Linked DNA regions of Cricetulus griseus. The protein of the gene in region 1 interacts with the protein of each later gene in a pairwise test. Links are inferred from orthologs where the notes say so. Each region holds a gene or a part of one and is shown on either strand. Other genes may lie near its edges.

Region 1 (10,720 bases):
GGCTGGAGTACCAGCACAGACTGGTCATGCAGAGGATAGAGTTGGGGGAATCTCTCTGGTGACCCCCACACAGAATCAAGGCAGCTGCTGCCTGGCCCCTCTTCTTGCTCTCCCCTTACCAGGAATGACCAACCATGAGACACTGCAGCAGATCAGTCGTGGGTACCGGCTGCCACGCCCAGCTGCCTGCCCAGCAGAGGTCTACATGCTTATGGTGGAGTGCTGGAAGGGCAGCCCTGAGGAGCGTCCCACCTTCGCCACACTGAGGGAGAAGATGAATGCCATACACAGGCGGCTCCATCCCAGCCTCACGTGACCAAGTCTCCAGCCCCACATGCAGCAGATACAGCAGCTGCTTCCTGAAGGGTGTCTCCCAAGGAAACACTTGTCACCAACACACATGGGAGATGCTGCACAACTGGGAATGGCAACAGCCTCAGAGAATCCAACCCTGGGGCTCCTTCACTGCATAGGCCAGTACCAGCATGGGCACACCAGATGGATGGACAGACACATGAGGACTGGGCCTGGTCATGAGCACTCACTTAGAAGTGAAGGCTGATGCCCTCCCCCTGGTGTGGTTTGAATCCCCAGTGTCTCCAAAGTGTTGGTGAAGGGTAGAAGAGGAGCTGTGAGGAAATGCTGGACAAAGGAGTACCAGTAGAGGCAGCAGTTTCCTCCCTACCCTCACCTCACCCCGGGCTCCCTCAGCGCCCTCCTACAATCAAGGATGAGAAGCCCAATTTCTCTGTCTCACTGTGGATTTGGTTAGTATCCAGGGCTAGGGCTCCCAAGCATATCTCACCAGTACAGGCTGTGCACTCCTAGGGGACAGCAGTTATCACCTGCCCACACCCACTGCACCCACAGGTACCGGCAAACTCTAGGTGCACAGAGTCTGCTTCAATAAACATGCCCCAGTGGATTCACCTACCAGCTTCCAGAATGAAGTGGTGGAGGCTCTTAAAGATTTGAACCACACCCCAGAGCCAGAGCTGCTTTACAATGTGGACCCCCATGACATTAAAGGTGCGGACTGCTGGAGCCAAGTGAACAGCCCTTTCCAGCTCCCTGGCCAAGGGTTGAAGCTTCAGTTTCAGAAAGGGAAGACTAGTTGTTTGGTAGTCAGCACGCCCAGGCCTTTCCCAGATGCAGAAGGGTAAATTTCAAGACTGTTTCTTTGGAAGGGCAGTGTTTAGGAGGCAGAATTTTCTGGTTGGCAGGACTAGGCAGATATAGGTAGGATACTGACAACCAGACAACCTACCATCTGGGGCAAAGCCCCCGTGGGTCACTTTTGTGTTTGACTGGAACACCTTGAGAAGCTGGGCCCTGAATCACTCAACACTTTAGGGCGCTAGGAGCAGTATATTGAGGATTGGGGGTGGGGAGCTGTGCTCAGGTATTCAAGATCATTTCACTCTCCTTGTAGCTGTAGAAGGCGTATAAGGCAGAAAGGCTGGCAGTCCTCTAGAAGGGATGGAATTTGGGGCCAGCTCTGCACAGAGGCCAATGATCACCAACCACATCTGTGGGTTGGCTGAGAGCTGGGAACTGGATCTCATATGAAGTAACCCCTTAAGTAACAAGGAGTTTGGGTCCTAGCCAGTCATGGGCTTTCTCATGCGGAAGCAGGGCTGGATGAGGGGAACTGAGGGCATGGATTGCACCATAGACAGAGGCTTAGTCACTATGGGACCCACATCAACCTGCCTGCAGGTTCAGAACAGAGTGCTCCTAGGAGCTGTGGAGGCCAGCCCGACAGAGTGTGCTGACATTGGTCTTTGTAGGTGAAAGGGACAGTGGGATTGAACTGAGGTATGGCCCTGCCTCTGCTTCAGCCTGAAGCTCTGACCTCTTGAGAGGAGGAATCTGGAACTGACAGTTGGCTGCTGTGGGCTCCTTGCTTTGCCAGCACACACAACAGCAGTGTGGGCCCAAGGGCTTGCAAGGCATAAGATGATAACATTCTGATGTTAAGTGGCTACCATGAGTCAAACTAGGAGGACACTAGAGACAGGATGGGGAGAAACATGGTGCTGGGCTTGTGGCCAAGCCATGGAAGCAGGTTTGGCTGGGTCCTGGCACATTCCTTTGTGTTTAGTCAGCCAAAGATGAACAGGTCTGGCCCTCCTGGGAGAGGCCAGGGACTTTTGAGCTACTTGATATCTTTCATAGAGCTGCCCACAAAAGTCTCATTCAGGGACATGTGACTGTCCGGGATACAACTTGGGTTCAAGACTTGGGGCTCTGGAGCAGACAAGGAAAGCAACTGTGGAGTTCTTGAGGCTGATCCATGCCAGTACCATCCTCCTTCCTTTCCTCTTTCTGTAATTCTCCTTCCCCACACCTTGTTGGGAACTGAGTTGGGCTTGGTAGGTGTGGAGCTACTAATAACAGCATGTTGCTGTTCTTAATCCTCAAAGGTGGCAGGTGAGTAGTGCTATATCTCTTCAATGAAAGAAAATTCAAGGCCTGACACAGTTCTCACTGGTAGAACATTTGTTTATCATGCATGTGAACCAGGATTTGATCCTTAGCATGAAGCAGCACCACCACCACCACACTCCCCACCCTACCCTCAAATTCAAATAGTACTTTCATAGTCTCATACAGCTTTTTTTCCCAGGTCACTCATCCTTACAGACTTGTCAGTTTCCCTTCGCATCCTTCTCTGTGGCTGTCTTCCAGATCCTTATGAATGAGAAAGGTGGTTAGGGCCACTCTGGAGAGAGGGAATCTTTGGAGATTTCAAGGTTTAGTGTGGGGCAGGGGAGCAGGCAGGAAGGCTGTAACAGTCACAAGCAGGGCTGTAGGAATTGGGGTAGCGTGGAGTAGAAAAGGGACATGGTGGGAGTTGGGGGAGGGGACACAGAGCAGAAGGGGAGCCTGAGAAAGAGGGAGGTGGGGTTGCAGAGGCCCTGGTGGCTGCCCTCTTGTGTCCTTATCTGGGAAGACAGGACAGTGTCTGCTTCTTGAGCTGCGGTCTATGGACTACAGACATGTTTGAAGATACCAGAGGGCCCGCTAAGCCAGCCCGTAACCCACATGGATGTTCATGCCTTCATATCCCTTGGCTCCTGTTGTCTCCCCAGATGTCAGGCTGTGGTCTAGCATGCTGTCCTGGGTGGCTTCTTCAGGATAGATGAGCATCTGAGTGTCTTCACTCACTTCAAGGAACCAGAGCTTTGTAGCTAGCAGGAGCTCATGGGTCTCACCCAGGTCCCTCCCACCCTTGTCTCCAACACAGGCCCTGCCTGATTCTCTTGATGCCATTCCTAGATTTAGTCCTGTCAGTGTCTGGTGGGTGGACACCTCCCCAGGGAGGTGGCTGTCAGGACTGTCAAGTCCTTCATAACTCTATTTGTGTGTGTGTAGAAGGGAAGTCTCCATTGGCAGAGATACCAGCCAGTGTAGGAGAGGGTTTTTGTTTGTTTTTCTGTAGAAGAAACAGCACCTTGCGCTCTACTCTGTTCCTGTGTGTTCTAGCAAACTGCCCACCATCCTTGAAATTTCCCTCCACCCACTCCCCTCTCCATCTTTTGGCTCCAAGACTCACACCCCAGGGGCTGAGGGTTCAGCTGATACCTGATGCTCACCATCTAGTGGGCTCTTCCATGTAGCCGTGACTGGGTCTTGTCAAGGGGTTGCTGAGATGTCAGACTTCCACTGAATATGTGTGATCATGGAGCATGGTTTGACCCTGAAGACAAAAGAACATACAGGAAGCAAAAGGGCATTTGGGGTGGAGTCAGGCTAGTTCATCTCCAATGGGTGCTGGGTGTGGCTGCTCTCCTATCATGAGGAAGTAGGTGTGATTAGCTTGCTGGGAAAAGCCCTGCCTACTCCCAGGAGTAAGTGTCCATAAGCAGCTCATAGCTGGCTCTGCCATTGAGCCTGCCGTGATGTCTTGGGACAAGACCCACCTGGGCCCTAAATACATGGGCCTCTGGGACTTCAAGGCACGAACAGACGACGAACTGAGCTTTCAGGCGGGAGACCTCCTGCATGTTACCAGGAAGGAGGACCAGTGGTGGTGGGCCACCCTGCTGGATGCAGCAGGCAAGGCCTTGGCTGAGGGCTATGTGCCCCACAATTACCTGGCAGAGAAGGAAACTGTGGAGTCTGAGCCGTGAGTGGCCCCGGAGAGCTGGCACAGGGGGAGATGGGGTGGACACTGGGCTGGACTGGGGAAGCCAGAGGGTGTGAGATCCTAGACATTCAGGTGGTCATACTGTGATCCTTGACATTCTGGTATACAGGGTTGCTGATGGGGCCCTACCTCTGTGTGACACTGGGGAGTGGGGCCTCTTGTTTTGAGCCACCCAAGACCACTTCCCATACATACGGTTCTGCTAGGACCCAGATAGGACAGAAGGGCCTAGTATGGGTTTTTAGAATGCTGGCTGCAAGAGAAAAGATCTGTGTGGGAATTCAAGAACTGTTGGGGGTGTGAAGTTTGCTCACTTTCCAAACAGCCGGAACCAGATATGCAACCTAGTTAAAGAAGAGGTGTGCTGGGGCACACCTACTTGTATCACCTGTTGGGGGTACATGTTGCAAACACAGTGGTATGTTTTTTCATGTCCACTCAAGTACCTTAGTCCATTGCTCCTGGCCACCCACATACCTAAGCCCCTAGAGTCTTCAAGGAGCTACAGTAGTACCTGGTGTTGGCATGGCCACAGCTACCCAAGTACCCAAGCTATTTAGCTCTGAACTAAGGCTGGGAAGGGTCCAGCAGGAGGGGTTTCTTGTTTTGCTCCTCAGACCTCCCCCCCCCACAACTCATTTCACAATGAGCACCTATTGTGCTCAATGGAAGATTATGAGCACACAAGGGGACAAGAAACAAGAGTAATAATGGTACCAAGGACAGTTCCGGAGACAGGGCTCATGATGGGAACAAGGTAGGCATGAGCGGTATATATAAAAGACTGAGAAAAGCCAGGTGGTGGCATATGCCTTTCGCACTCATGAGGTAAAGGTAGATGGATCTCTAAATTCAAGGGCAGCTTGTTCTACATAGTGAAGTCCTGTGGCGAGAGAGAGAGAGAGAGAGAGAGAGAGAGAGAGAGAGAGAGAGAGAGAGAGAATTACGTGGCCAACATAGTAAGAGCAAAAGCTCTGAGGTCCAGAGAATCTAATCCAGGTGAATAAGTCAGAGGAGGAGTGCAGCAGAGGAGGCAAAGTGGTCAGAGGGGTGAGTAGGCAAGATTCTTTAACTTCACAGGACCTCAGGAGGTGGGCTTCAAGGGCTTGAGCTGAATATTAGGCTCCTACGTTCCAACTGATCTTGAGGGTGTTGGAGACTCCAAGGGCAGAAATCACCTATGGAATTCCAAGGACTTCCACCTGTAGTTCAGTTCAGGCATGCCCCATCCCTCATGTTGGAAGCCAGCATGCACAAATGCTTTGGAATGGGAGAATAAATATGTGCCACTGTGTCTGTGCAAGCACATAAGGGTGTGTGTATGTACTTGTGCAAGTATGCAGATGTGATCGCATGGATGAGAATGCATGCCTGTGCACATAAGTGCACATGTGCAAATGGATATGTGATTTGCATGGTTATGAAAACACGTGTGAAAGTATAAGCCAGGAAGCAGCACTGGGGATTGCTGTTGAGATTTCTCTCTCCCCTATTTCTGGGCCAAGGTTGGGATCAGTAGCTCTGGACCCACAAGCTGTTATGAGACATCCACATGATGGAATTGCAGGCCTTGAGGGACAGACTGACCCACAGGTGGTCATCCTCCAGAGCAGGATGGTAGGCAGTACTTGCACATCTATCCCACTGCTGGGCCACTAGGACATGTTCTGGTGTCCAGAACCAGCCGTTTAGGTCTTTCAGGGCCCATGATGGACCAAAAGGTTGGGAGCAACATGAGAAACAGATTAGTTGGGGTTGGGAGTATGAGATAGGAGCTAGGGGTAGCTAGGACTCCAGACAGGCAAGGCAAAGGTTAGATTGTTGAGAAACCCAGTGGACGTGTGTCTGGGGTGAGGATCAATAGGCTGAGGCTGACTTTCTCCCCTGCAGGTGGTTCTTTGGTTGCATCTCTCGATTAGAGGCCAAGCACAGGCTGCAGGCTGAGGACAACTCAAAGGGTGCCTTCCTGGTCAGAGTCAGCCAGAAGCCAGGAGCAGACTATGTTCTCTCTGGTACTGCTTCTCAGACCTCCCCTCACCTATACTAGCTCTGAGACTTTCCTGACCGCATGGTGATCTGCCTTTCTTCTGATTGTGAAGTCTGGGACATCTTCCTCTTCCACTGGAAGCCCTGACCCCTCCCTGTGGTCCAGCTACCCACTTTCAGCCTTTGAGGCAGAGAGCCAGGCACTCCAGGTTGGGTTGTTTCCCTGTGCTTTCTGGCATATCCTATGTGTGTCATGGAAACCAAGGCTCCACAGGTGGTCCACTGTGCACACGGCCCAATAACCTAGGGGTGCAGGAAACAACAGCCATGGCTTATGACAGGAGGGCCAGGGAGCCTTGGGCGGGCAGTGTCCAGGGTGGGAGCAGGGGCAGGCAAAGTGGGGGACTTGCAAGGTAGGATGCCTGCTTATGCCTCCTTCCTCCGGCCATCCACCCCAGTGCGGGACTCTCAGGCCGTGCGACATTACAGGATCTGGAAGGACAATGTGGGCTGGCTGCACCTGAGTGAGGCAGTATCCTTCCCCAGCCTATCTGAGCTCGTGGACTACCATAAGACCCAGAGCCTGTCCCATGGCCTGCAACTGACCATGCCCTGCTGGAAGGTAGGCCCCTGGCTCCTCTGTGATGTAGTTGGGGTCAGACAGGTGGAGTACAGTGTTGAGGCAGGAGGGGCTCAGAAAAGGGTATTCCTCTTGGCTGTCACTCTTATTACACTGACTCACCAGAGCTCAGTTGTGCTCCCGCTAAATCCTGACCCATGGTAGGTCGGGTGACAAGGTTCAGTGGCCAATTGCCTGATGGGGCTTATTAACCTTGATGGATAAAGACAGCTACATTTTTATGCAGGATGCTCAGATACTACTATGCTGGGGGTAGCTCTAAATTTAAAGATAAATAGAGCCCTCATGTGGGATTCAGAGCAAACACTCCCTGAAGACAAGCTGAGTGACCTAACCACCACTCCTATCACCACCATCACCCTTTCTGTCTCTCCAGCACAAAACTGAGCCCTTGCCCCACTGGGATGACTGGGAGAGGCCCAGGGATGAGTTCACACTCTGTAAGAAGCTGGGAGCCGGCTACTTTGGGGAGGTCTTTGAAGGGCTCTGGAAAGGCCAGGTCCGTGTGGCTGTGAAGGTGATCTCTAGAGGTGAGCAGGCCCAGGCCCAACTCAGCTTGGTCACATGTTACTTCCCCACTTGTTCTACCAGTGGGCACTTCTAGTCTCACCCGGCTAGAGGTATCCCAACATACTTACTGGGTACCTACAGCATCATGGTGGGAGTAATTTACTTCAATTGTACCCATTTTTATTGAAACGTCACTGGAAATGTGAGTTTTACCTAGAATCCCAGCCTCACCCTCAGGTTTATACCTGATCCTTCAAGGATCAGGTCAGCCAAGACCTTGAAAATATCCAGATGGGAAGTTTTGACTTTGGCAGTTGTGACCAGGTGGGGCATAGGAGGACAGATTGACACATCAGGCTTGGGGCACTGAGGCCTTGGTGGTGGTGATTTAGTGCTGCAGCTTGGGGGCTAGCCTTTGTCTTCCTAGGCTGACCATATTTCCTGAGCTGCTGCAGGAGGCCTGGACCTCGTGCCTGAGGCACAGGTCAAAGACTATATTCACTGAGCCTGGTGTCTCTCAGAAAACCTCCTGCACCAGCACACCTTCCAGTCTGAGATCCAGGCCATGAAGAAACTGCGACACAAGCATATCCTGGCACTGTATGCCGTGGCATCTGCAGGGGACCCTGTCTACATCATCACAGAGCTCATGCCCAAGGGAAGCCTGCTGCAGCTATTACGGGGTAAGTGGCAAGCTCCACCCTCCTTTCCCTGAGGTGAAAGTGCTAGAGGCAGCAGGAGATACACATAAAAGAGCCAGACCAATAGGAACACAATACAAGCCTGGTACGTGAGCTAGCTTGCTGGAGCCCATTCCCTTTGGTGGGATACCATGCTCAGCCTTAATGCATGGGAGAAGGGCTTGGGCCTGCCCCAACTTATTGTACCAGACTTTGTTGACTCCTCATGGGAGCCCTTACCCGTGAGGAGTGGACTGGGGGTGGGCTTGGGGGGAGAGGAGGAGGATCAGAGTAGGGATGGGAGGGAGAACTGTGGTTGGAATGTAAAATGAAATTTAAAAGAACAAATAAATTATAAGGAAACAAACAAACAAAAGAGCCAGCAGACATGCAGATCCTACCCATCCCTGCCTGACCCACACAAAACAGCCAGGAGTCCCCAGATGAACTTGTTGCTTTCTTGTTTAAGAAGTTACTTATTTTTTTTTAAAGTGGTGGTTGGTGGGGTGGGGGCTGGAGAGATGGCTCAACAGTTAAGGGCACTTATTGTTCTTGTAAAGGACCAGGGTTCAGTTCCCAGCACTCACATGGTGGCGCACAACCATCCATAATTCTAGTTGAAGGGGATCTGACACCCTTTTTTGGCCTCTGTAGGCATCAGGCATGCATGTGATAGATACACAGACATACATGCAGGAAAAATACTCAGACACATAAACTATATGTAAAAACTAAAGATGGAAGCTGGGCATAGTGGTTCATGCCAGAGGCAGGCTGATCTCTGTGAGTTCGAGGCCAGTCTGATCTACAGAGTGAGTGCCAGGACAGTCAGGGCTACACAGAAAAACCCTGTCTCCAACCTCTGCCCCTCCTCCTATAAAGACCTAAAGATGGAGAACAACCAAGGAAAGACATACACATGTACACATGTGCACAAACCCACAGTAACAAGTACATGCACCACACCACTAATACCACACCCCTCAAACACACAAATTGAAAAACAAATGGCCGGCGAGATGACTCAGTGGGTAAAGTGCTTGCAAGGCAAGCATGAGGACCTGTGTTTGAATCTCCAGAACTAATGCACAGAAGCACACATCTGTTATCCCAAGGCTCCTACAGTGAGGTAGATGGGAGGAAAACAAAAACAAAAACCCTCCTTCACCATGTCAAAGATGAAGACTAACACCCAAGGTTGCCCCCTGACCTCCATACACATGTACACATACACATTATACATATACAACAAATAAAAAGCAAATGACTTAAAATATGACAAGTCTGCCAATTGCTGATCATAAAATTTGAAAAGCTATAGATAAGTACAGAAGAGAACACTCAACCACAATGTTTATACACACAGTTAACTGAGGTCACTTTACTATAGGCTCTGTGTAGCCTGCTAGTGACCTGCAACAGCCCACTAGCTTCTCTCTCTTCCTGAGACCTGCTGTCCAGCCATACCTATATGTCCTTATACCCAAACACATGTGAAACACTGAAATACACAAATACAGACATTCACACATGGCATAGATGTACCCTCACACATGTAGACACAACTCATCTCACCGACAAGAAGACACCACTGTCTGTTTTCTTCAACACAAAACCAGCCATCCCCACCAGCTGAGGTACTGTGCAAAGATGCTACCAACTTCATACAACAGGGAAAGGTAGGGTGGCAGTGTAGGACAGTCATGCCTGGGGGTATATGTATTAACATATCAAAAGCATTTAGAAGAGTAAAGTTGTGTAATTTTCGGCAGGAAGTGGTCTTCAGAGATCAAATGCATGCCCCTTGTAGGTGTAGCTGTTAGTATTCAGGCATCTGTACTGGCCTGTCCTCGGGGTTCTAACAGGATATGCCCTCGGCTGCAGCCACTAAGAACAACAACTGTGCATATTCACTATGTTCCCTTTTAAAAGGGCCCTGTCCACCTGCCATTCCTCTCTCTTATTCTCTTCCTCTCTCTCTGTCTGTTCCCCCCTTCTCCCCCCCCATTTCTTTCTACTGCTGCTCCCATCCCCAGAGGCTGGTCTCCCTCCTCCCCTTTTCCCTTTTTATGACCCCTTTTGCTAATAAAAATCCCTCTGTTTGAACCCTGTCTCATGGCATCTTTCTCTCCTACACTGCTTTTCTTAAATTACAACAGTAGCAGTTTCTGGATGGACAGCATCTAGAGAGTTCAGTGGTTACACTATGCCAAGTATATCTTGCAGCAACATCTTTGGCCTTAGATTGCTTTATAATTCCCAGAAGGTGTATGGGACAAAGAGCATGTGTGTGCTCTTTGTCTCTAGGTACTGCGGAAGGTCTAGGATTGTCCACTTTCCAAATAAGCCAGACCAGCTGCCCTTTGCTGGAGCCTTCATAGGCCCAGAAAATGAGGACTGAGCTCTGGCCAACTGACTCTGGCCTCTGATCACCCTGCAGACTCTGATGAGGAAGCCCTGCCTATTTCGGAGCTGGTGGACTTTGCATCACAGGTCGCTGAGGGCATGTGCTACCTGGAATCTCAGAATTACATCCACCGTGACCTAGCTGCTAGGAATGTCCTTGTTGCAGAGAACAATCTCTGCAAAGTGGGGGACTTCGGGCTGGCCAGGCTTGTCAAGGTAGGACTCTGGAAGAAGCCTGAAGCAGGATATGGGGTTTTATTTTCCAAGCCTCTAGCAGAACCCAGCCATGGGCAAGATGAGTTCTCGATAGGGCGTTGTTAATAGGCAAGGCAATGGCTTCATTCA
Region 2 (10,985 bases), on another chromosome or scaffold:
TCCAGGGATTGAACTCCGGCTTTCTGGCTTGGTTGCCAGCACTTTCATCCACGGCCATGAACTTAACAGCAGATCTGCTTTTAAGCATCCTGAGTGCTAAAAGTGACAGGTGTCTCAGGTCTCAGAATTTATTCTTTCAGATTTATTTTGTATGTACCAGTGTTTGCCTGCATGTCTGTCTGGGCACCACATACTCGCAGTGCCCACAGTGGTCAGAAAGTCATCAGGCCCTTTGGAACTGGAATCCTGGAAGGGGAGTGATGAGTTGACCCAGCTCTCTCCAAGGGTAGCCAGCGCCCTTGGCCTTGGAACTCTCTTCTGCCCTGTTTTTGTTTTTGTTTTTGTTTTTTTTCTTTCCTACTGTGGCGTCTTCCCTGGGCCTCATTCATTCCCTATGCGTGCTCACAGGTACTTCAGTCAGCCTGAAGTCTGTGGTGATGGGTGTCCCAGCTATGACGGAGCAGAAACAGTCGCTGTGTCAGCCCCAGGGATGGGCCCTCAGGGATCAAAGGTCATCTCTGCTGACCACCTGTCTATGTGATGAAGAGGATGCTGGCAGTCATCAGGGAGTCCAAGACCCTCCTGGTCCATCAGGCAGCAGTGCTCAGGAGGCTACAGCTGTGGAGCACTGGGGCCTTGAGTTCACCTCCCAGCAACTCATCTCCCCCTTGCCAGCAGAACCCACAGTCAGGGGTCCTGAACCGGAAGAGCAGTCAGTACAACCCATGTCTAGCACCGCTGGGAACTTAACACCTCAACTTCCCGACTGAGCTTTCAGCACTTGACCAGGCCAGCTGGCAAACTCACTACATAAACCTTAAACTCATGATCCTTCCACCTCCACCTCCCAGCTGCTGGGGTGACAGGCTTGTGTCACACAAATGGTCCCGGGGCCCAAATTCTGCTTCCTGTGAGCGCATGCAGGCCAGTGTTCCAACTATAGGCACTGCTGACTGAGCTCCCCCAGTACAGGCACAGATGTTCACCAAGGTTGTGATAGGAGGCTGGGTCCAGCCAGCGTTTTGTTCGGGCTGGTGGGCTAGGTGGCCATCTCCAGGGGCCATCCTCCCTCACAGCAGGCCCGTCATGACCCAGCCCCTTCTGCTCACTCCTTTCCCTCCCTCCCTTCCCATTATGGCTGATTGCACACTAAAAGCAACCATGCAGCCAGCCGGCCGTGGACGCTAGGGGGTGCCAGGCCCACAGCTCAGAGCCCCAGGGAATTGGACCTGGGGCGGAGCGCGAAAGGAAGGAAGGAGACCAGTAGTGTGTGCCAGGGGCCGGCCAAGTGCTTTCATTGTCCAGGATGCTGAGGCAAGAGGACGTTTACATTAAGGCCAGCCTGGGCTACATGGTGATATTGTTTGAAATGGGAAAAAAAAAAAAAAAAGGGCCGGGCGGTGGTGGCGCACGCCTTTAATCCCAGCACTCGGGAGGCAGAGGCAGGCGGATCTCTGTGAGTTCGAAACCAGCCTGGTCTACAGAGCAAGTTCCAGGACAGCCTCCAAAACAATACAGAGAAACCCTGTCTCGAAAAACCAAAAAAAGAAAAAAGCAAGAGGACCTGAGTTCGAATCCCAGAACCCTGGTAAAAAGATGCTCTTGAAGGGTCTGTAATCTCAATACGTGGTTCCGAGGCAGGAGGATGCCCGGACTCGCTGGTCCCCAGACTCAGCAAGCGATCCTGTGTGTGCGTGCATGCGTGTGCACGCGGGCGGAGGCGGGGCTTCCGGGGACTCGCGCGGTTGGTTTGGGCTGTGCCTTCCCACCGTGCGCGTTCCCGAGGCTGCAGCGTCTCCTCCCCAGGTCTTAGCCGCAGGTCCCAGCCTCCCTTCCCCGCCCCTCGCTCGCCCCTGGTCCAGGTTTGCAATGGGAGTCGCGGGTGTGAATGCGGTCAGGGAGCAAAGGGCGGAGCCCACGCCCGGTACCTTCCCCGGGGGGAAAGCCAGGCGGCTTCGGAGCGGGAAGAGCTCCGAACGGCAAGAAAAGGACCAATCCGAGGGGAGATGGCGGGTGGGGCGTGGCTCAGTGTAGAACAACAGCTGAGTGTTCGCAGACACCCCCTAATCCCATTTTACCCCCAAAACAGAAGGAAGGAAAAACCGTAAATAAGAAAAGAAAGAAAGAAAGACCGTGCGGTTCTGGGAGGTCCTGCAAGAGCAACCACCCTGGCGTCTTGGTCACAGTTTGCCAGACCTTGTCACGGCAGAGCAAAGCTGCCCACTTCTCAGAGGCTAGAAAGGGGAGCTGGGTGACCCCTCCCTGCAACTAAAGCCCCACCTCCTAATGTGTCAGTTACCTCCTAGTCCCTTAAACTGGGAGTTGTTGGTGGACTTACTGGTGGTGGCCAAATCCTCTGTTTTCAACTTGGGAGCCCAGGCGAGCCTCTGCATCGCTGAGATCCCGGCGGGAAGTACTACTGTGGTCGGCTGGCTCTTTTACACTGCTGCATACTGTACCCTTTGGAAGAACATTCTGGATCTAAACCCCTAACCATTCGATCTGACTCAGGCTTAGGGCTGGCTCCGTTGCTAACTGTGAACACCTTGCTGTAAAGCAATGCGGGGCCGCATGCCAGTCTGTCATGAAGGGCAGCCAGGGCAGGACGTCAGGCAGGAACCGAACGGGGCCGTGGGGAGCGCGCCTTACTGCTCTGCTCTTAGGGCTTCTCGGTTTGCTCTTTCCGCAGCCCAGGGGTGGAGCTGGGTTGTCCGGCAGACAGGTCCGCAGCCTGGGGGAGGCGTTTTCTGTGAGGTCACTGAGGTTACTTCCCAGGTTTGATAAAAATCTAATCATCATGGTCACCCATTGAGAGGTGTGCATAAATGGTATACACAATCACACACACACACACACACAATCACACACACACACACAATCACACACAGACATACACAATCACACACACACACACACAATCACACACAGACATACACAATCACACACACACAATCACACACACAGACATACACACACAATCACACACACACACAATCACACACAGACATACACACACAATCACATACATAGATATACACACACATGCACATACACACATAATCACACACAGACATACACACATAACAATCACACACACAGACATACACACACACAATCACACATACACTCACACACAGACATACACACACATGCACACACATTCACACACACAATCACACAGACATACACAATCACACACACAGTATCACACACACATACACACATGTACACACGCGCGCATTTAAAATGTCTAAGGCCTTTGTGACCATTCTCAACCCCCAGAACCTGAAGGTGACTCGAGAACTGAATGTCACACAGGCTCCCTGGGCAGAAAAAGGACACTTGGAATATGTAGCTCTTGCGTGGCGCTGGATTCGGTCACCACAACAGCCTGAGTAAGTTCATGACGCCTAGTGTGAATGGATGGACTAGAGTTGCCTTGTGACCTCCAAAGCAACTCCAAGCGCTCTCAGTGCCTTTGTTTGTAAAATGAGGCTCCGTATTGAATATTACCTCGCTCACAGCCTTGGAGAGGTTCCTCAGTGAGCCAAGCACACTGTAGGCACTCAATAAATGCCGCTCCCTCAATAAATGCCTGCACCTCCTGCCACTTTAAACTATGCAAATAGCCTGCGGGTGAGTGGCGCGGCTCCACCAACCAGCGCAAGACTTGTGAAGCTCGGCGAGGCGGAGCTCCTCCCGACCACACCCCATGGGCGGGACCGGCGGCGCGCTCCGCAGCGCGCGGGGAGGGCGGGGCGCGGGTCCAGAGCGCGCAGGTGGCGGCGGCGCGGGGTGAGTGTCCCCGGACGCGGGGCGCGGGGCGCTTGTTCCCGAGCGTGGGGCGAGGAGCACGGGGTGAGTGTCTCCGAAAGCGGGGCGCGGGCGAGCGGGCGAGCGGGCGTAGCCGTCATCCTGAGCCCGCCCGAGCGCAGGTGCTGCCTGCAGAAGGCGGGGTGCTGCTCCCCTCAATCCGGGTCTGGGAAGCGGGGACCACGAGGACCCCCAAATTCCTCCTCCAGATCTTCAGCTCCCAGGACCTAGGGTAGGGGCCGCCTCCGTCGCTGCCCGTGTGGTCCCTGTCCTCGCCTGACAGCCGGGGTCACCTCCCTCCCATTTCACTTGGCAGGCAAGTGGGGGCTCTGCAGGGCGAGGCAGTGGAGCGGGGCCTGGAGCGGCCTGGAGCCCGCACCGGGGACTCCCGCGCTCTGTGAGGGGGGCGGCCTGCGTCTGCTCCCAGGGACAGAGTTAGTCGAGGTGACTGAGATGGGATGCGGAGGAGGTCGAGGGTGGCAGCCCCTCGCTCGACCGCAGCACCGCGGAACCTGCTTCATGGTGACCTTGGGCAGGTGACAGCACCTCCCTGACCCCCAGTCTCCTCTTTGAAATGTTGAGGTTGAAGAGGCCAGCCTGTCTGTCTCAGAACCCCAACATGCACACCCCATTTTCGTCAGATGGAGATCCCAAAGACTCAGTTTTCGGCCCTTTAAAATGGGTTGAGCCTGGCAGGGTTATTCCTGTCCCTGGGAGGCTGAGCCTGCAGGATGGCGTGCACCTTGTGGCCAGCCTGGGCTACATAGCCAGGCTGCCCGATGGGTACAGTCTGGCCTTCGCGGAGGAACCTAGGACCGGGAGAGGACAGTTCCCACATGACCATTAGGCGGGATCCGCCTCCTATGGAGACCTGGCCTCTGTCACCCGGGTCCGGTCCCGGTCCCACCGGTGTGGCTGCCCGTCACACCCTGACCCACATACTGTCACCGATGGCAGGGCCCAGCCGGTTCCTGGGCGGAGTCCCAGGTGGGAGGTCAGGCGCTTAGCCCCTGCCCCTTGCGGGACGGTGGGGTGAGTCCCAGACAGGTGTGCTCAGGCTGGCTGAGCCTTCTGTGACATGGGCCGGAACCCCGTGGGAAGATCAGAGGGGACAGGAGAGTGAGGCCGCGCTGTAAACACTGCTCCTCATGATATTAATTATTAATTGCATACATTAAATGGGGTCATGGCCAACGAGAAAATGGGATGTGTCTTTGAAGGGTGTGACCAGAGTCACCAGCACCTATGGACTGGGGTACACAGTGGTGCTCAATGTGTGTGCATCTAATGAAGTGACCCAGCCGAAGGATGGCACAGGGGCCTCAGTTTCCCTGCCCGGAGCACTGGCTGAAGTCTGGGGGCAGCATGAGCTTCTGTTTGATGGGATCACAAGGTTCAGAGAGGAAGGCATGGGTGAAGGTCACACAGCAAGGGGTCAAGGGCTGTGGGCACAGCCAGCCCACACCAAAAACCCAAAATTCCACTACCCAGGCATGTCTATTCTCTGTGTCCAAGCTGCTGTTCCAACACCCAGGCCCCAGGTTTTGGGGAATTGGTGTGGGGTGGAATGCTGTGTGACGCTGAGCAAGTGCCTATCAGTCTCTGGGCCTCATTCTGGTGTTTCAGTGTCCAGGAAGTCCTGGGTTACATTGGGAAAACTGTCTTAGCTCCACAATATTTTTAGGGGCCTCCATGATGTTTTAACTTCTTTTCAAATCATATTAGTAAAAACAAAACAAAACAACCCCCCCCCAATAACATGGGGATGAGGGACACTCTGTAGTATTCAACATCTACATTTCAAAGTCAGGCGTGGTGATACACCCCTGTCACCCCAGCACCCGGAAGTCTGGGTGGGGAGATCAGGACTTTGAGGTCATCATCTGCTATATTTAAGGCCGGCCTGGGCTACATGAGACCTTGTCTAAAACAAGCTTTAATCTGTTGGCCCTGAAGTAGTTGTAAAGAATGTTTGGGTTCCCCTCTCTGAGGGGAGGCTTCAAACATTTTCAAGCCTCAGTTTCCCTCTTGGTTATCCTGGCCCAGCTCCGGGTGTTGTTGTACTTATTCTAATTAGTGTTTCTCTAGTAATGGTATTGTTGTCCCCACCTGCTCCCTCAGCCCCCGCCCTGCATGCCACCCTGTGGCTGTGGGCAGGTCCCAGGGGTGCTGGGCGGGGAGGTGACGGTTGGGTGGCAAACAGGGCGGGCCAGGCTTCCTGTCCTCCTCCAGACATGGGCCTCCACTCAGGGCTGGCGGAAGTGTCAGGGGCCCATGGCCTCCCGGTGTTTACTCCAGCCCCTAGGGGCTCTCAGCCCTGTTCGGCGCCCATGGGTGAGTTTGATCCCAGCATACATCTTTGTCACCTCAGAACAGGAAGGTGTCCCACAGCTGTGGGCTCAGGTCTGGGGTCAGCCATAGCTGTCACTTCCTGGGCCAGGTGGCAGCGTCAGGGCCCATTCTTGGCATCACCTCCTGCCACCCCAGGTCGGCCCTGACCAGAGTGCAGGTTGTGGAGCTTTAGGGCCACTGGGTGGAGTTCTGGGCACTGAGGTGGGCAGTCTCGGCTGTGAGAGACAGCGTTTGACATGGGTGTGATAGCCGGTGGGGTGAGTGAATGTATGGGGTTGGGGACAGTGGCTTTGCCTGTGGCGGGAGGGGGTGGGGGACTTCCGGGAACAGCACCCATTCCCCAGGAGCCTCTTCAACCTGGCAGAAGTTCATCTGTCCTGTTGGAGACGGCTGCCACATCCCCAGTGTGGCTCTACATGTGAGGGCCTGGCCACAGGGGGATGAAGTTGCCACACGGGTGCAGGGGGATTGAGTCCCCTGTCCTCCAGCACATTCTAAGGGATTCAGATAGGCTGGCTGGGTTCTAGCCAGGCACCAGGATGCAGGAGGAAGGTGGTGTGTTGGCTCCAGGCTGTCACCACAGTACTTGGGAGACTGAGGCAGGAGGATGGACATGAGTTAGACGTCAGCCTGGGATGCAAAGTGAGACCCTGCTTCAAAAATCAAACGAAACAAAGAAAAACCATACTATGGACATATGGGGATTTCCTCCTGGAGTGTTAGTGTGTCTCACCACAGAGAAGCTTCTAGAAGCATTGCCTAACCCAAGAGTGGGAGGGCAGATATTTGAAAATGAAATCATTATTTCCCTGGTGAACTCCTATGCCTGCTCCAGGGCCTCAGTGGCCATACCCCTCCCACTGGACCTGGTTTCACCAGCGTCCTCCTTATATCTGGGACACACAGCCTCCCAGGCCAGGCCAGGGGAACCTGCCAGGCACAGTGACATGCAGCTTGAGTCCCTGAACTCTAGAGGCTGAGGCAGGAGGATCCAGAGTTCCAGGCCAGCTTTCCGTGTTAGGTAAACTGAGGCTCTGAACTAAGTGGGTCCTCCCAGAGGGGCCAGGATAGTCTGGTCCTATGGTCAGCTGTCCCTGTCTAGTCTGTTGTTGGGCCTCCTGGCTCCAGCTGTCGCCTGCAGCCCAATAGCTCATGAACTATGAATGAGCACACCAGCTCCGATGACAGCTGAGGATTCTGCACACCCCTCTGTGCCACACGGCCCCACCCGATGCAAAGTGACCTGGGTTTTCTACCTCCTACAGATGGAGAAACTGAGGGACAGAGCCGAGTGACTCAGAGCCAGGTGAACAGTGGCTTTCAAAGGTGGTTGGGACACATGGAGCCCCTGACAGAGGGAGGAACTGTGTCCATGACACTTCAAGGGACTCTGTACATCATGCACAGACTTCTCCCACAGAAACCACAGACACAAAATCCGCGGTCCCTTCATGCCATGTGACCTTGGCAAGTAGCTTCCCCTCTTGGGAAGTGACTCAATTTACTTAAATCTAAAATGGCCTAGAGCCATTCTGTTCATCCAATACCACTGTGGACTTTACCTATCCATGCTTTAAAACCCCTTGTACCATGGCCCCCTCCACTCTAGCTCCTGTTCCCCAGCCAGTGTTCAGCCCCATGGGACCAAGACATATATGCCCCTGTTACCTAGGGCCACAGGGCCAAGGCTAAGGCATTTCTCAGGGCCTGGCCTGCTCCCGGCCTTGGACCTTCACTTCCTTAGTGAAGGGAGGGTGGGTGGAATTTCCCTGGTCAAGCTCTTGTTGGGTTATGATTCAACCCTGAAATGTACCTCTCTTTTCAGACAGATCCTGGACAGAGGCCAGCAGGGGTCTCCTCAGAGGCCACCAGGATGTCATATTTTGGGGAACATTTTTGGGTAAGACGTGCTGTTTCTTCTTTTTCTTTTCCCTTTTGTTCTTCACCACTCTATTTTGGTGGGGGCTCAAAAAGAGCTGTAGAGATTTTGTATGGTCGAGGAGGAACTGGGCAGATAGAAGGTAGAATTTAACGGGTGGTGAATGCCTTTAATCCCAGCACCCGGGAGGCAGAGGCAGGAGGATCTCTGTGAGTTCAAGGCCAGCCTGGTCTCCAGAGTGAGTGCCAGGATAGGCTCCAAAGCTACAGAGAAACCCTGTCTCCAAAAAAAAAAAAAAAAAAAAAAAACCTTGGAGACACAGGTTGCTTTGACCCAGGACAAGGAACACAAATTATAGCACTGACAATCAGGCCCAGAGCAGCATGTGTGGTCTGAGAATCACTCAGTAGAAGAACACAAAGCTGGGTGGCCGTGTACACACCTGGGATCCCAGACCTGGGGAGGCTGAGGTAGGAGAGTGGCACAGTCCCTAGCCAGCCTGGGCTATACAGGAACGTTTCCACAGATGGCATGTTAGAACCACAAATGACATGTTAGAATCACAGATGACATGTTAGAATAGCATGACCTTGCACCTGGGCCACACTGAACTCCTCAGATCTAGGCAAGCCAATCAGGGAGATTCCATTTTATTTTCATTTTGGGAAATTTGTTTTTTGGGGGAGATTGCCCCCCCTCTTGTCCCTCTTGGCCATCTAGGCCTGCTGCAAACCAGGTCTGGGGATGGGAGACTCACATCTGAGCCCTGAGAAAGGAGCTGCCATTCTTAGTGACACAGAGCCAGCCTGAACCTGTGGCTCAGCCCATCTACAGTTTGCTGTAGCTCTGAAGGCCAGTTTTCCAGGATGTGCAAAAGCCATTACAACCACAGGAAACACCCTGAGTTCATCTCAGAGGTGTGACGCTGGGTGGCACTCAAGGATCAAGGTCTCCTCCCAGTTGGTTGGGCCAGGGAACTGGGGAGCCACTGAGGATGCAGGAGCAACCCCAGAGTGGGAGCCTGGAGTCTGGAGGCATCAGACTGAAAGGCCCCTTCCTCCCCAGTAGGCCCACAGCTTGCAAAGTGGTGGCTGGTTACTAAGCAACCGGTTGCCCCTAGCAACAAGCCCCACTCCCTCCCCTTCTCCCTCCCCAGCTGGGCCTTCTCTTACTTGCTTCTGCTGTCTTAAAGGGCCCCCCACTGTCCCTTGCCACCTGCAGGGCTCAGATTCTCCAATGGCTCTGTGACCCCTGGGAGGAGTTGTTCTATGGGCTGTCATCAGAACCCCTGTCCTGCAGCAGCAGCCCAGGAGACACCCACATTTGGGAGCGGTGACAGCTCCTACGTGGATTGTCAGTATTTTATATTCCAAGAGGTGTGAAAATGGGGGAGAAGTCAGTGAGTAAGGAGAGAATAGAAGCCACCCCAACTTCCCTCCCATGCACACCCCAAGATAGCTGCAAGGGCTCAGACCTTCAAGTCAGGGTCCCTCTGCTCAGAGGTTCTCCCTGGGGAGGGGCTGGCCAGCCAGCCTCAGTTTCCCCAGGAGGTACAGGAAATAGATGAGAGTTCTGTCTTTTGGGACATGGATCGGTGGCTGAGGTATCAGGGTTCCTTTTCTATTAATTCCCTGCCGAGGATGGAGCCCAGGGCCTCAAATGTAATAGGCAGACCTCCACTTCTGAGCCATGTCCCCAGCTCCTCACCAGGGGATCCTAGGCAGGGGCTCCACCTGTGAGCCATGCCCCAAACTGATTGGTTTTAGGGGCACCCCAGTTCCTTTGAGGCAAGTCTGGACCAGAAGGCTGGAGAGCACTGGGGAGCCATGGCAGATGTGTGAGCACTAGAGGGGTATCAAACCGTGTTAAAAATGTCCTTTGGCTGTCACCCAGAGGTTCTGATCAGAGACATAGGCCCTGGATGTCTTTCCTCAGACCCTCGGCTGTCTGCCCACTTTGAGGAGGCAGACAGTGTGGAGGGCTCGCCAGGCCCGGGAACTGGGCCAGTGGTTGGCTCTGTGTTAGCCCCAGATAATGGCCTGGGCGGCAGTGCCTGGTGCAGCCTCACCCGAGGATCCCTAGCAGTGGCAGGTGGGCTCGGCGGGAGCTGTGTGTGGCGCCTTCATTGTTACCCAGAAGGCCTTTGTGTCTTGCAGAGTACCATACACATCTCACCCATGAAGCTACTGTGTGACATTTTTCATGAGAGAACTAGGGCTCAGGGGATGCAGCCATACCCCAAAGTAGCCCAGTGCACTTCAGTTGGAAGAGACAGTATATACTCCTGGTGGGGTAGAGGGTATAACCGTGACCTTGTGGGGGCTCTGAGCAGAGCCCTGGGGCCATGGAGTGGTTTGTGTGGGAGCTGGAGGGGCGTTGGCCACTGATGACAGTAAGGAGCTTTTGAGAGCAACGGGCCTGTCTCTCTCTGTTGAGAGCAACGGGCCTGTCTCTCTCTGTTGGTAGCAATGGGCCTGTCTCCCTCTTTGAGAGCAATGGGCCTGTCTCTCTCTGTTGAGAGCAACGGGCCTGTCTCTCTCTGTTGAGAGCAACGGGCCTGTCTCTCTCTGTTGGTAGCAATGGGCCTGTCTCCCTCTTTGAGAGCAATGGGCCTGTCTCTCTCTGTTGAGAGCAATGGGCCTGTCTCTCTCTGTTGAGAGCAACGGGCCTGTCTCTCTCTGTTGGTAGCAATGGGCCTGTCTCCCTCTTTGAGAGCAATGGGCCTATCTCTCTCTGTTGAGAGCAACGGGCCTGTCTCTCTCTGTTGGTAGCAATGGGCCTGTCTCTCTCTGTTGGTAACAATGAGCCTGTCTCTGTTGAGAGCAATGGGCCTGTCTCTCTCTGTTGAGAGCAATGGGCCTGTCTCTCTCTGTTGAGAGCAATGGGCCTGTCTCTCTCTGTTGGTAGCAATGGGCCTGTCTCTCTCTGTTGAGAGCAATGG

Evidence for each region. The genes of interacting proteins can lie anywhere in the genome.
Region 2: the proteins of Ptk6 (region 1) and Fcho1 interact in binary tests that used the Homo sapiens proteins (3 or more experiments, as listed by UniProt). The two-hybrid records come from large-scale screens. The link is inferred for Cricetulus griseus from reciprocal best matches to the Homo sapiens genes PTK6 and FCHO1.

What each region holds. Positions count from the first base shown.
Region 1 is NC_048599.1:697,397-708,116, forward strand, and holds the start of Ptk6 (protein-tyrosine kinase 6), read left to right. Parts: upstream 1-3,905; coding exon 3,906-4,132; intron 4,133-6,043; coding exon 6,044-6,165; intron 6,166-6,597; coding exon 6,598-6,761; intron 6,762-7,155; coding exon 7,156-7,309; intron 7,310-7,810; coding exon 7,811-7,972; intron 7,973-10,409; coding exon 10,410-10,591; intron 10,592-10,720. Other genes in the region: tyrosine-protein kinase Srms, read left to right, coding at 123-316. UniProt on the Homo sapiens protein: Non-receptor tyrosine-protein kinase implicated in the regulation of a variety of signaling pathways that control the differentiation and maintenance of normal epithelia, as well as tumor growth.
Region 2 is NW_023276806.1:248,088,876-248,099,860, reverse strand, and holds the start of Fcho1 (F-BAR domain only protein 1), read left to right. Parts: upstream 1-3,748; 5' UTR 3,749-3,858; intron 3,859-7,430; 5' UTR 7,431-7,471; intron 7,472-7,990; exon of another isoform or gene 7,991-7,994; 5' UTR 7,995-8,038; coding exon 8,039-8,065; intron 8,066-10,985. UniProt on the Homo sapiens protein: Functions in an early step of clathrin-mediated endocytosis. Has both a membrane binding/bending activity and the ability to recruit proteins essential to the formation of functional clathrin-coated pits.